Linked DNA regions of Mus musculus. The protein of the gene in region 1 binds, or shares a complex with, the protein of each later gene. Each region holds a gene or a part of one and is shown on either strand. Other genes may lie near its edges.

Region 1 (7,088 bases):
AAAAGGATTTTGTTCCTTTTATAAGTTATGATGTTTAGCATTATTTAGGAGCAAATTGTCCATCAAGAGGTGAATATCTAAACAGGTGTGATAGAGACAATTATTGAGCATTTAAAAATTTTTTTTTAATTCTGGTCTATGCCTTCATTACAGTGGTGACTTTAAGGACATTATGCCAAGTGAAATACATCAGTCACAAAATACAAATATGCATGATCACATGTATATGCAGTTCTAGAGTAGTCACACACACAAAAATAGAAAACACCACTACATGGTGGTCCCCAGAGATCATGTAAAAGGAAATGAGTTGGTGAGTTTGTACCTGGAGTTTCATTTTACAAGATAAGGAAGTTCTGGAGATAGATGGTGGAGAGGTCAGTTACACAGTAAAGCAAATACACAGAACATTACTGGTGCAGACACTAAAAATGACTAATATGATAAATTTCATATTCTTTGCCTCTTCATACAACTTGATAGACACCAAGGTGGCATTGCTTAAGAACACCCACATAGGAAAGCAGAGCTGTAAGAAGCATGAACACCAGATAGGGCAACAAGCATTGAAGATAAACTCATGTGACCATGTAAAACTTATGTAGAGACTATCAGATACAAGCAGGAAGAGAGTACCCAGCAGTACACAATGAGAGGAGCAATAGAGGCGTTGCTGGGAAAGTAAAAGGATTAATTCAAGATAGACTATAGGGCTGGCAAAATGGCCCCATTTGTGAAGGCACTTACAGCCAGACCTGATGAGCTGAGCTCAGTCCTCAGGACCCACGTGATTTACTGAGAGAACCAACTTCGCCAAGTTGCTCCACCGTGTGCACCCCCCTCTCCCACATACATCCCATTCCCAGCCTTCTAATAAATATATACATAAATGTAATACAGATTTAGAAAACTGTAAAGTGCCTGGTATGGTGGCACACGCCTTTAATCCCAGCACTTGGGAGGCAGAGGCAGGCGGATTTCTGAGTTTGAGGCCAGCCTGGTCTAAAGAGTGAGTTCCAGGACAGCCAGGGCTACACAGAGAAACCCTGTCCTGAAGAAAAAAAAAAAAAGGAAGGAAGGAAGGAAGGAGAGAGAGAGAGAGAGAGAGAGAGAGAGAGAGAGAGAGAGAGAGAGAGAGAGAGAGAAAGAAAGAAAAAGGAAGGAAGGAAGAAAGAAAGAAAGAAAGAAAGAAAGAAAGAAAGAAAGAAAAGAAAGAAAGAAAATAGTAAATTGTTGTAAGTTAAAGATACATGTTAGAGTCATTGAAAGGATGAGAAATAGTGAACAAAGGGGCAATAGAGAAAAAACACTGGAGTGATATAATCCCATTTAAATAAAAATATATGAAACCCAGAAACCCAACAGTACTTGAAAATGCTTCCTGGGCTGGAGAAATGGCTCAGAGGTTTAAGAGCACTGGTTGCTCTTCCAGAGGTCCTGAGTTCAATTCCCAGCAACCACATGGTGGCTCACAACCGTCTGTAATGAGATCTGGTGCCCTCTTCTGCCCTACGGGCATACCTGCAGGCAAAATTATGTATACATAATAAATAAATCATTTTTAAAAAGAAAGAAAATGCACCTTAATGTAGTTGCTCAGGTGTTAGATGTAATCGAATCCTGGGCATCTCACTGTTGTTGAAGTTCTATCTCAATGAAACAAAACCTTAATAATTACAGAGTTTAGGTGAATTGCTTGGCAGAAACAGTTGGCTAGATCCCAGTCATCTGAATATGTCTGTATGACTTGGAGGGGGAATGGTTGGAAAGAGTACAAAGAAATAATATTTGTAACATGAAAATTATGTGTAGTTTAGATTTGTGTGTCCATTGGAAGGTTTTATTGGGAGCACATCTGAGCATTGTGTGTTGTTTACATCATAACTTCTTTGTTTCTCAGCTAATACTACCCGGATCTTCCAAGGGACCAGGATTGTGAAAACAGGAGTGGTAAGTGGAGAACGCTGGCTGCTCTGTTACAAGTGGTAATTTGGATGCAGTCAAAGCTGTGACCACAAGGTGTCAGCATAATGTTGTTGAACTGCACACATACAGCCCTTCAGAGATAAGCATGCATTTTGCTGTATAATTTACTGTGCCATGGAGGAATATTGGTGGCTTCTGATGTATAATTTTGTCAAAATAAAAATATTTCAGATATGTAATTATGAATGACCGCCAGAATCAAGTGATACAGGAGTTCATCCACTCAGAGCCCTTCACTCACCTTATGGTGCAATGAAGAGGTTGTCGCCCACATCTACTCATAAGAAATGACCAGCGCTGGGATAATTGTAGCCTGAAACTCACTAAGTACATCCCAGTTTTCAGACACAAGTTATTCTGTTTGCATCTTCAAAGACCTTAGGGTGAAGGTGAAGAAACTGAGTTAAACAGATGGGCCCATCATCACACAGTGAGGCAAGGAGTCAACTCAACATTCAGTTGAAGGGCTTTTCTGTGTTTGGCGCTTAGTCTTATGTGAGAGTTGATTTTTGGTACTCATGGCTATCCTTAAACTGTAAGGTTTCCATGTGAAGTTGAATGAAGTTCCAAAATGTGTCTTGCTCTGATTAACTGTTTATACTAGTATAAGTAGTGAGGTATAGTTTGGGGTTTTCTGTGCCTGCTTGTAAGGGCTGAACTTGTGCTGTTATCCCCGAACACATCCTGGTTTGGGTAGAAGATGCCGTATATGAGTATGCCCCTGTTCAGCATAAGGAAAGGATGAGCTGAGGTTTGTCCACGTGCAGCCCTGCCACCGAGGCTTCACAGTCATGCACTTTGAATAAGCTCCCTATCCCCTACACACCTCAGTTTCCCTACCCAGAGAATGGGTAGCATGGTGAGCCCCAGCACAGGGGTGGCACATCCTAAGAGGAGTGCCTGTTGTCACCCTGAGTGTTGCAGGCGCAGAGGCAGAGTCTGTACTGTGGAGAAATGCAGACACTCCAAAGGCTCTATAGCTGGGCTGCATGCAACCAGAAGCTGCAGAGACAGGAACTACGTCTTCAATCCCATGTCCAGAGTATGCCTGCCGCTTCTGCCACTGCCATTGCTGACCTGGGCTGGCTACCCTCCCTCTGGCTTTGTTGACTTCCTTGCTGTATGACAGTGGCCTTGACTCTGTCTGCTGATTTTCCACATCTCAGAGCTAGGCAGTCACCTGCAAAACAGCACACATTGACTCCTGCCTCTCACCACCCCCTCCCCATGATGGGTTGACCTGGACATTTTATGACTTACTCGTAATGCTTCTGTTTCCCCATCTAGGCCAGCCCTGAGCCACATCAGAGAACACCTGAGTTCGATACACTAGTTAAGGTTTCAATTCAAAGTAATTTTAAAGCCACTGAAGTAAGACTTGGTCACCCTGGGCCAGCACTGGTCAGCTTTCACACTGTAGCTTATGAAAACTCATAACAGAGGAGACTACAATCTGGGTGTTTGCAGAACAGGGCCTCGAGTTGATTCTTGGTTACTGATACACTCTACATTTTTTCTTCATCTCCTTTTCTCCACACCCTGGGTGGCCCTTTCAGCCGACAGCCTCTCCTGCCTCTTCAGCAGACATGGCCCCCATCAGCTCTGGCTCTTCCACTTGGACATCCTCCGGCATCCCCTTCTCATTTGTTTCCATGGCAACTGGGATGGGCCCTTCCTCCAGTGGCAGCCAAGCTACAGTGGCCTCTGTGGTCACCAGCACACTGTTGGCAGGCCTGGGCTTCGGTGGTGGTGGCATCTCCTCCTTCCCCAGTACCGTGTGGCCCACGCGCCTTCCCACCGCATCTGCAGCCAGCAAGCAGGCAGGGAGGACAGTTCTTGCCACCACCGAGGCCTTAGCTTCCCCTGGGCCGGATGTCGACTCGGCACCGACGAAGGACAGCGAGGGTACAGAGGAGGGAGAGAAGGAGGAGAAAAGCGAGAGCGAGGATGGTGAGCGAGAGCATGAGGAGGAAGAGAAGGACTCTGAGAAGAAGGAGAAGAGTGAGGCTACTCACACAGCCGCAGAGAGTGACCGGACTGCACCTGCCCCCACCCCCTCTTCCCCTCATAGGACTGCAGCGGAGGGAGGACATCAGACTATACCTGGGCGCAGGCAGGACCACTCTGCCCCTGCCACAGACCAGCCGGGCCACGTTGCCCCAGACTTGGATCCCCTTGTGGACACAGCCACCCAAGTGCCCCCAACAGCCACAGAGGAACATTATTCAGGGAGTGATCCCAGGAGGCCCGAAATGCCATCTAAAAAGCCTATGTCCCGAGGGGACCGATTTTCTGAGGATAGCAAATTCATCACAGTTAACCCAGGTAAGTGGGGTTGGTCCACATGTGAGGTTTGGGGCTGCTGTGAACAGGCTGGACCTATTTCTAAACGTTGGGGACCTGGAGAATGAGGACTGGGGAAGTAGTTAGCTCCTTGGGGTTATCCGTGTCCCTGGTGTTCTATGCATGAAACCACCTCTTTTTGTGTCACCCTAATGAGATGCATTCTCTCACTGGAACAAGTCTTTCTCTATCTTTCTGTCTATTTCAGAAGAAGCCAAGGCCTCAGACAGATCTAAATGAAGAAAGTAGGCACTGGATCTAAGTTTGCTCACTCTGACTTTATTCCTGCGGGTGGGGAGGGTAATAGCCAAAGGAAACTCCCTGGGATCCTCAGGGAGTTGACACCACTGTGGATCACTTGCCTCAAAAGCATGAAGTTGGAGCCCCAATCCTATGTTTTGTTTTGTTTTTTAAAGCAAAGCACAGTTACATGCACTTGTAACTGCTGCAGTTGGTGGACAGAGTCAAGCAGATTCCTGGGACTCAGTGGCCAGATAGCCAGCTTTGTGAGTTTTATGTTAGTGAAAGAACCTGTCTCAAAAGCCAAGATGGGTGGCTCTTGAGGGTCAGCATCCAAAGTTGTTCTCCAGTTTTCACATGCATGTATACATGATACACAAACTTGAGTGCTCACACACGTACATGCACACATAAACACCCCACACACCCACATACACAAATGTACACTCACACCCACATATACACATGCACACAAATACACACACTCACACATACACTCACATGCACACACACTCACACATGCATACACACATGCACACATACAGTCACACACACACACATGCTTTTATTCCTTAATCATTTATTAAATACAAACAATTTATTTCCTGGTAGCTATTGTTGTGCTAGGCACTAGGCTGGATAATCTGCCAGGGGAACTCCTTACCTGCATCCTGGCAGAGGGGGATGACAGAAAGATGACTGATGGCAGCTTGCTAGAGTACATTCCAAGGAGTTAGGTAGCAGGGATGTTGGAGAACAAGCTGCTGACATGTGTGTTTTTGGCAAGACAGGAAACTACCCAACTGGGATGTTTGCTTATGAAAGAATGATAAAAGATATAGTTAGGATGTTGTGACTGACAGTTATGAGGAGGATAGAGACCCACCCTAAATGAGAAAAAGTGACATGTCCAATCTGGAGCCTCCTGGCTTTAGTAGTCCATGATCATACCTCATCAGTAAGGGTAGCTGTGACAAGTCACGGGTAGCCTTATGAATGACCCCATCTATAGCAGGGGAAGTAGACGTGGCTGGAAAGCTGGCTGTCCTTAAGCCCCAGGTGGCTACATGCAATTCCCCATTTCCAGCTGGGGAAGCAGACGTGGCCGGCTTGGCCCCCACTCCCTGGGATCCTCAGGTAGTTGACACCATTGTGGATGTCACATGCTCAGATCTTAATGAACCATCCTGACGCTTGTGCTATGGCATGAGGGGCTGTGACTGTTGTGAGGGCTTTTCTTAATAAGAAACCCTTCGTGTTGCCAGACTGCAAGACATTTAGCAACAATGTTTTTTTCATTTAAGCTGTTGTGGAATTATGAGTGCAAAAAAAAAAGGCAACTGGTAAATATTTATTTGCTTTTGCACTTGTAAACATTAAAATTCATCTAAAGCTGAGATCTCGTATGTTAACATACAACTTAGAATACATTTTCATGTGTTGAATTACTTTCCCTCAGAGCTGCTATGAACTAATTTTTTTCCTAAGAAGGGGTCTCCCATGGGTATTGTTAAGTGTGGGGCAGTTTGATGGAAAGGCACAGGAGCCTTGTATGGATGAAGGAAATGTGGAGCCATGGATGGTGCTGTTGTGTAAACTAGACATTTCCCTGAGAAACTGCTGGGTAACAGTTGAATTTCTTGCAGTTAAATATAATAAATAAGGAGTTCCTTTTTACTGGATGCCAGGCTCTAGACAAGGCATTAGGAAAAGACCATTGATGGAGACTTCTATTCTCTTGGGGGTACATGTTCATGGGAAAGGTTTAGGATCCCGCAGCAAAAACTGAGTGACCTTAAATAGCATTTGCAGTGGGACCAGTGTAGGTAGTTAGCCACTCACAGACCCATGGAAGAACATTCTAGGCTGCTGGAATGGCAGGAGGAGAGAACCTAAACCAGGAGTGAGTTTGGATGGCTTTAGAAGCCGAAGTGGACCACAGAGAGGAAGAAGCAGTAATAAGGATGGAGTTCAAACACTGGGAAAGCCAAGATAGTGAAGGGAGCGTTAGCTAGGCTGAGGGTAAGATTTTAACTGAAATGGCAAACCCAGGGATAAATACCAGCAAGAGAAGTGACTTGTGCCATTAACTTTTCCTGTGTGTACAGATGGGCATAGTGGTGTGGCATGAGCCAGTGTGTTTCCTCTTTTAAGAGAAGGGGTGGAGTTGGACTGCATGCATTCAGCCAGCTTCTGAGAAACATTTCTTTTACAGAGTGTCAGAAAACAGTGTCTGTTATGTGCTTGAACTGGGAAGCTGAAAGGTGGGGTTCCAAGACTGATTCTTGTAAGAGGAAGCAGGAGGTGGACCCCAGACTCCAGGAAAAGGGAGAAGAGAGTAGAGCTTCCATCCCTCTGGTCAGAACACATTTAAAGTTTGTAGGAGTAGCTACAACTCAGTAGCTCCCTCTCTGCCCCGTTCACTAGACCTTCAAGCAAGTTTCGGCTTCTCTGCAGAATAAAGTTGATAAGTGCCTCTCAGTTGGGCAGAAGGCCATGCTGATAAAGCTCTGGTCTTA
Region 2 (7,451 bases), on another chromosome or scaffold:
TGTTAAGTGTTGAAGATACATGCTAAGTGTTGAAGATACAGAGTAGAAAAAGGCACATCCCCTCAGACATTTACAAAATCATGTGAAAAAAAAACCTGCTATCTTTCAGTAAGACCAAACTATAGTAAATAATAATTGGACCCATGAAACTATTTGGTCATCATTTCTCTGGCTATAACATGCCAAATTTGGTAGCAGAGCTAGATGATCAGGAGCAGGTTTGGGAGGCCATTAGCAATGCTCCTAGTTCAGTATGTTGAGCATATTCTAGTGATACATAAGACATTAAATAGCAATTGATTCCATGTGCTCAAAGAAGTTGTAGTTGTTTCCATCATTGTTCTAATGAGTTAAATGCTAGATTCTTTATACACCACACATTCAGAAAAGGAACAACTTGCTGGGCAGTTTGATCTCTGTCTCGGCTTTCCAGTTGAACCATTTTTAAATCTCTCCTTAGTTTTTCTCAGTCTTGAAATAAGCATGTCATCCCTTTGAATAGCAGCATGTTGTCATGGTGAAACCATTGGACACTGGACAAGAACTAATAGTCCTACAATCTGTTCTGACTCAACTACTTGTTCGTGGTATACTTTGGGACAAGTGACTTTTTACTCTATAAGTCACATTACAGGTATCATATGTAAATAATTAAAAATTGAACTGCATCTAGTATTTTAGAATGATAATTCTACATCCTCCTTTCCATATGTGATACTCCTCTACTCGAACACAACATTAATTTCAAAGGACCGGGTTCAGAATAAGTGTTATTTGGAGTGATCAATGTATTTGCGAAGATTTTTCTCTGTTTTCTGTTCTCAGAGCATTATTAATAGTATAAAGAATAGTTTTTTCAGTGCACAGCCACCTTTGCTTGAACTATCATAAATATGTATCCAAATTAAGGCCTGTAGTCATATGATTGACAACCACCAGATTTTTTTTAAGAATTTTTATCCTGGGCTATCCTATATAGAAGAATGTTCAAGCTTTTTGTACTGTTCACAGTTGTGATTTCAGTCACACACATTGAATGACAAGTAGTCTATATGGGCAACTGGCCAAGGAACATGGCCATGCAATAAGAGGCCCAGAAGGAATGTGTTCACTTGGTGACTCTCCTTCTCTTGAGGCTCTGCAGCATTCCGGCAGGGATCTAAAAATTATCCTATAAATATGCATTTCATATTTCATGTGTGTTATTTTGCTTAAAGTATCTTAAATTGATTTTGTTAACTTCACTGAAAAACAGTAATATAGCATTATGGATTTGATGAGCATTCACAATGAACTGTATATAAAAAGCATGAACACAATATTTATGTGACTATGCATCTATATAGAATGCTTCAAACTTTAGTTAGCATTAATAGCCAATTTCAAAATTATATAACCCAATCCTCCATCTTTTTCTATATTGTAAAGTAAGCAAACTTAATATCAATGATTAATATATTAATACTGGACAGTCAGCAAACTATTATTAATTCATAAGTCTGTCACAAAGACCTTCCCAAATAATCAAAATTTGAATAAATTTGCTTGCTATGATTAGAATCAGTATGATATTTAAAATAACAATAAACCATTTCATTCCTTTTACGCTAATGATGGGATTTTTACTTTTCTTGTCATGAGGCTGCATTATACTGTTAACTAATTAATATTCATTTGGATCTTTATTGTATTTTAAAGCTCCTAGCCAACCACCAGCAAACATTGCCTGGAAGCTGTCAAATTCTAAATTATGCTTGAACTGGGAGCATGTAAAAACCATGGAAAATGAGTCTGAAGTGCTGGGCTACAAGGTAAGTATTTACTTTTTTATTTAATCTAATATGTTATTAAAGATTCAGCAATGTCATAATCAAGAAGAAATGAAATTTGTACCTATGTATCTATTAGAATTAAAATACTTTTCAATCTACTCTTGCTTCTCTTTTTAAATTTTATTTTATTAGATTTTTTATTTATTTACATTTCAAATGTTTTTCCCCTTCCCAGTTAAATCCTCTATTGCCACCTCTTTCTCCCTGCTTCTGTGAGAGTATTGCCTCCCTCACCTGCCATTCCCACCTCAGTGCCCTAGCATTTCCCTAGTTGGAGGTGGTCATCGAACCTCCAGAGGACCAAGGAGCTCCCCTCATGTTAATGTCAGATATGGTAATCCTCTGCTACATATGCATCTGGAGTCATGGGCACCTGGAGCCCTCCATGTGTACTCATTGGTTGCTGGTTTAGTCCTTGGCAGCTTGATGTTGATGTTCTTCCTATGAGTTTGCAAACCCCTTCAGTTCCTTCAGTCCTTCCCCTAACTCCTCCACTGGGGACTTATGCTTATTCTGATGGTTGGCTGTGTGCATCCATATCTGTATTGGTCAGGCTCTGGCCCAGCCTCTCAGGGGACAGCTACCCTATGCTCCTGTCAGCAAAATCTTCTTGGAATCAGCAATAGTGTCTGGGGTTAATGTCTATAGATGGGATAGATTCCCTAGGCAAGGCAGACACTGGATGGCCAGTTTCTGTTCCACTGTTCGTCCCTGCATTTCCTTTTGACAGGAGGAATCCTGGATTACTCTTTTTGAGATGGGTGGGTGGTCCCATACCTTAATTGGGGGTAGTTCCTATCCACTGGATATGGTCTCTGCATGTTCTCTTTCCCCTTTGTTGGGTATTTCTGCGAATGCCATAACTGTTGAGTCCTGGAAACCTCTTGGGTCCCTGTCATCTGGAACTTTCTAGTGGCTACCAAGTTCTCCATTCACCACTGCTACACACCTCCATTCAATTTCCTGATCCACTGAACTTTTCCTTTTTCTCCTCCCACACTTGATCCTGCTCCCTTTTCCCTTCCCTCCTCTCTCCCTCCCAGACCTCTCCCTCTAGATACCTCCCATGATTATTTTTCCCCCTTCTGAGTAGGACTGAATCATCCATATTTTGGTCTTCCTTCTTCTTGGGTTTCATATGATTTGTGAGTTGTATTGTGAGCATTCTGAGCCTTTTTGTTTGTTTGTTTGTTTGTTTGTTAATATCCACTTATCAGTGAGTATACACCATGTGTGTTCTTTTATGACTGGGTTACCTCACTCAGCATGGTATTTTCTAGTTCCGTCCACTTGCCTGTGAATTTCATGAAGCCGTTGTTTTTAATAGCTGAGTAGTACTCCATTGTGTAAATGTACCACATTTTTCTGTATCCACAGTTGAAGGACATTTGAGTCCTTTCCATCTCCTGGCTACAATAAATAAGGCTGTTATGAATATAGTGGAGCATATGTCCTTGTTGTATGTTGGAGCATATTTTGGTTATATACCCAGGAATGGTGTAGCTGAGTCCTCAGGTAGTAGTAGTATGTCCAATTTCCTGAGGAAACATCAGACTCCTTTCCAGAGTGGTTGTACCAGCTTTCAATCCCACTAGCAATGGAGGACTGTTGCTCTTTCTCTACATCCTTCCCAGTATCTGCTGTCATCTGAGTTTTCGATAAACATTGTATGTTCTAGTTTCAGTAACGGATATGGAGTAACATGGTATGGAGAATAAAAAATCTAAGTCCTACAGTATGAAATCATTTTTCTCCACATGATTGCTTTTGCTATCAAGAAATTACAGGTTTTTATTGTAGATGCAATTCATGATTGATGTTAAGGAGTAAGTTTAAATGGAGTATAAAAAAATTAGGACACAGTAGATATGGGCTTTTAACAGCACAAAAGGAATCTCACAAGAATATTATTAAGTATTAAGAGCATCTCTGAGTGCCCAGGGTAAGTGATCCCCATTAGTGTTAATGTAAATTAACTCTGGGCAGACATACATATTCAGACATTTGTAATGGATCCAAACTGAAAGTGTGTTTTCATAGTAATCCCTATAACTAATGTACTCAAACTCCATACCTGAGACATGGATCCCAAAGAAATATTATTTCCCAATAATAAATGTAATGATAAGCCAACCTGAATGTTTGCATGTAAGGAGTACAATGTTGATAATGGTTCTTTTAACATAAGTGAGAGCATTGATTTAAACTTGTTCCTTGTCCCTCATCATAACAGCATCTGAACCCTCAGTACCCACCAAACCCATCTGAACTTGACTCTCCCTTTCGTACAGATCCTCTATCGGCAGAACCGACAGAGTAAAACTCATATTTTGGAAACAAATAATACATCTGCTGAACTCCTGGTTCCATTTGAAGAAGACTATTTGATTGAAATCAGAACAGTCAGTGATGGTGGAGATGGAAGCAGCAGTGAGGAAATCAGAATTCCAAAAATGTCAAGTGAGTTGAGTTGCTGCTTTGTCTGATCTGGGCACCTGCAGCACAAATGTTCCCAGGGACTTTCAGGTTGTTAAGTAAATGTTTTGTGACAAAGCAAAAGGTCTGTGCTTCCATTTTCAATTGTGAGCCAAAAGTGACAAGCCAGTTTTTCTCATAACAATGGGTAGGCGTTTTTACAATTTTCTTTTTTTTTTATTATGTATTTTCCTCAATTACATTTCAAATGCTATCCCAAAAGTCCCCCACACCCTCCCCCCTCCCACTCCCCTACCCACCCATTCCCATTTTTTGGCCCTGGCGTTCCCCTGTACTGGGGCATATAAAGTTTGCCTGACCAATGGGCCTCTCTTTCCATTGATGGCTGACTAGGCCATCTTTTGATACATATGCAGCTAGAGTCAAGAGCTCTGGGGTACTGGTTAGTTCATAATGTTGTTCCACCGATAGGGTTGCAGATCTCTTTAGCTCCTTGGATAATTTTCTTATTTGAAAACAAAATAATAAATAAATAAATAAATAAATAAATAAATAAATAAATAAGGTAGAAGGAAATGAAGTTAAGAAAGAGAAAGTTAAGAATAAAATCAAAGAAAATTAATGAAAAGAAAAAGGGAAATAATTTCATGATTCACTATTTTTGCACAAAATGTAGGATTTTTTTTCTTTCAAATGGTCAAAGGTCTCAAAGAAGAAACAGTGAAATTGAAGCATCTATCCCTATGTGGTTCTTTCTATGTCCGTGGCAAACATCAACAATCGGTCATAGCATTTATACTAAGCTGAAGGCTTCTCAATCATGGTGAAAGGAGGCCAGTTCCACAGTTATCAAGTAATACTAACTACTAGTTTTGCATTTAAAGCATCAAGTTCACATCTTCATGAAACTTCTAAGTAGAAGTCATTGGTCACCAAATGTTGGCCAGTTCTAATATAATTTCAAGTAGTCCTCACCAATTTGGGCACTTTTACTATTCATTTTTACATTTGAGGTGGCATCTTATAATAGGAGGAGATGTGTCTTAAATTTACATTTAATATAGTAAAATATTATTATTAAAAAACAAACATGACAGCGTAATTTCTGTCTCATGAAATTAATACAGTAGGCAGTTTTACGTCCTGTGAGGTAATTCTTTGATTTTTGTATTTTCCAGGTTTGAGTTCCACAGGAGTTCAGATCTCGAAGCCCAGCACCCAGTCCCTGTCAATGGTTGGGGTTTTTTACTGTTTTGCTATTCACCCACTTTCGAGATGAACCAATCCATGGATCTTTGGGAATTTTCTGAGAGCAAACCATTCTGTAAATCCATTCTCCAGCCTCTATCACAAGACATATTCTTAATACAGACTTGTTTGGAAAGAAGAAAATGTATATTACTAAGCTCTTGTAAATATCTGTGGTACATTAATAAAACAGTTTTAAACACTTTGAAACACTTTGAATTTTAATGTTCACACATCATTACACATTTGAGGGTGCCAAATTAATCGGAGGACATAAAACTGCTGTGTCTTTCAGGTGACTTATAAGAAGAATATAAATAACCACCTCAATAACGATTATAGATATGAGACAGGTGTAAATTCATGTCCATTTTATGTGCTCCAGGTAATATACTTCACTATTTACAGTCCTTAGCACCATTTGAAAGAAAATACAATGGCTTGTTTATAGTTGTATATATCTCCCAGAGATCATATTTTCCAAATCCTGGTGCTGCAGTTTCTGAATCCAGTTAGAAAAAATGGTTAGACTTGACAAAATGTTGGTATGCACAGTGATCTTTCTTCTTGGGTTTTATAAGAAAAGAGCAAATACAGAAGTTTTAGGCAAGGAAACAGAAATGAAGAGAAACCAGGACTCATTGAAAATAACAAGTTTTCCCCTAAATTTACATCTAGTGAACAAATCCCTGGGACATCTTATAAACTGATTATACTCTACATGGCCTTACTTTTACATAGTAATAAAAATCTGGAAACAGATTTATTTGATAAGATTCCCTACATTTTATTCACAGTGATCTTCTCTCTCTTTTTTTTTAAATCAAACTTTTCTTTGATCATTACTATAATCGTGATTGAAAACTCCTAGTGTGATGAATCTGGTTTTAGTGAGATTCTGTGCGCTAACTCTGCTCTAGGGATAATCAATCCCAGTAACAGCCCCAGCCCTGCATGGTCCCGAAGCACAGTCTGCAGAGAAGAGTAAGGCGAGTGCCAGTGTTCTGACCCTTCTGTTTTGCCCACTACAATGACGGATTTCCTGCTGCTGTTGACTTGCTCCACTGATTTTCTTTCTGGAAGACTGGATTTCACTTTTTCACATGGTTTAAGGTTTTATTTAAAAACAACACAACAACTTGAAATTTTCTTATAGTCCACAAGTCATGAACTCTTCATAAGTTGAATATGCATACATATATATATGTTCTTTTATTGAGATTTTCATACATGTATATCAAGTGCCTTGGTCAAATTGATCCTAATTCCCTCCTCTCTGATTCTTTCCTCTATACATCACCACCAATTTTCTTCCCCACTTCTTAGTTCCTGCTCTCTTCTTCTTTAAGCCCCTTGAGGTCCTTTAATGCTACTCATTTGTGCATGGGTATGTGAAAATCTGTTGAGGAATGGATAGCCAATCCGGGTCCAACTTCTGAAAACTTATTTTTACTTCACAGCAGCATCAGTTGCTAATAAATAGCCTTATAGTTAGGGGTGAAAATCAAGAACTCCTCTTCCATTCATGCTGGGAATTTTTCTGGCTTCATCGTGTTCAGATTTTGTACTTGCCGTCAAAGCCTGTTACTGAGTTCTTGTGTGATGGTTCTGTCATGTTTGCAAATAGTTTTTCATTTTTTTTTTTTGATATTTACTTATTTTTTTACTCTCAATATTTTATCCTCATATTTAATATGTCAACCGTTTTACTGTTCCACATCTCATACCTCCTCCCCATCCCTCTGAGTCCTGGTGGATGTCCCACTGTCCACCTCACCTGACCTTTAAACTCCCAGGGGCCTCAAGTCTCTTGAGGGTTAGGTACAGCATCTCTGAATGAACACAGACCTGGAAATCCTCTACTGTATGTGTGTTGGGAACCTCATATCAGCTGGTGTATTCTGTCTTTTTTGATGATCTAGTGTTTGAGAGATC

What was found. The genes of interacting proteins can lie anywhere in the genome.
Region 2: the proteins of Ptprg (region 1) and Cntn6 are in contact, whole or in part, in a crystal structure (PDB 5E5U), measured with the Mus musculus proteins. Residues at the interface, in NP_033007.2 of Mus musculus: Val225, His226, His227, Lys229, Phe288, Thr290, Gln292, Gln293, Asp294, His295, Val296, Lys297, Ser298, Val299, Glu300, Tyr301; in NP_059079.2 of Mus musculus: Arg129, Val132, Arg135, Gln138, Gly139, Val140, Val141, Leu142, Leu143, Cys144, Gly145, Met222, Gly223, Tyr225, Glu226, Pro227, Lys228, Glu230, Leu252, Asn306.

The regions. Positions count from the first base shown.
Region 1 is NC_000080.6:12,150,116-12,157,203, forward strand, and holds part of Ptprg (receptor-type tyrosine-protein phosphatase gamma isoform 1 precursor), read left to right. Parts: intron 1-1,900; coding exon 1,901-1,950; intron 1,951-3,542; coding exon 3,543-4,311; intron 4,312-7,088.
Region 2 is NC_000072.6:104,857,681-104,865,131, forward strand, and holds the end of Cntn6 (contactin-6 precursor), read left to right. Parts: intron 1-1,698; coding exon 1,699-1,811; intron 1,812-4,123; coding exon 4,124-4,292; intron 4,293-5,446; coding exon 5,447-5,547; 3' UTR 5,548-5,726; downstream 5,727-7,451. UniProt on the Homo sapiens protein: Contactins mediate cell surface interactions during nervous system development. Participates in oligodendrocytes generation by acting as a ligand of NOTCH1.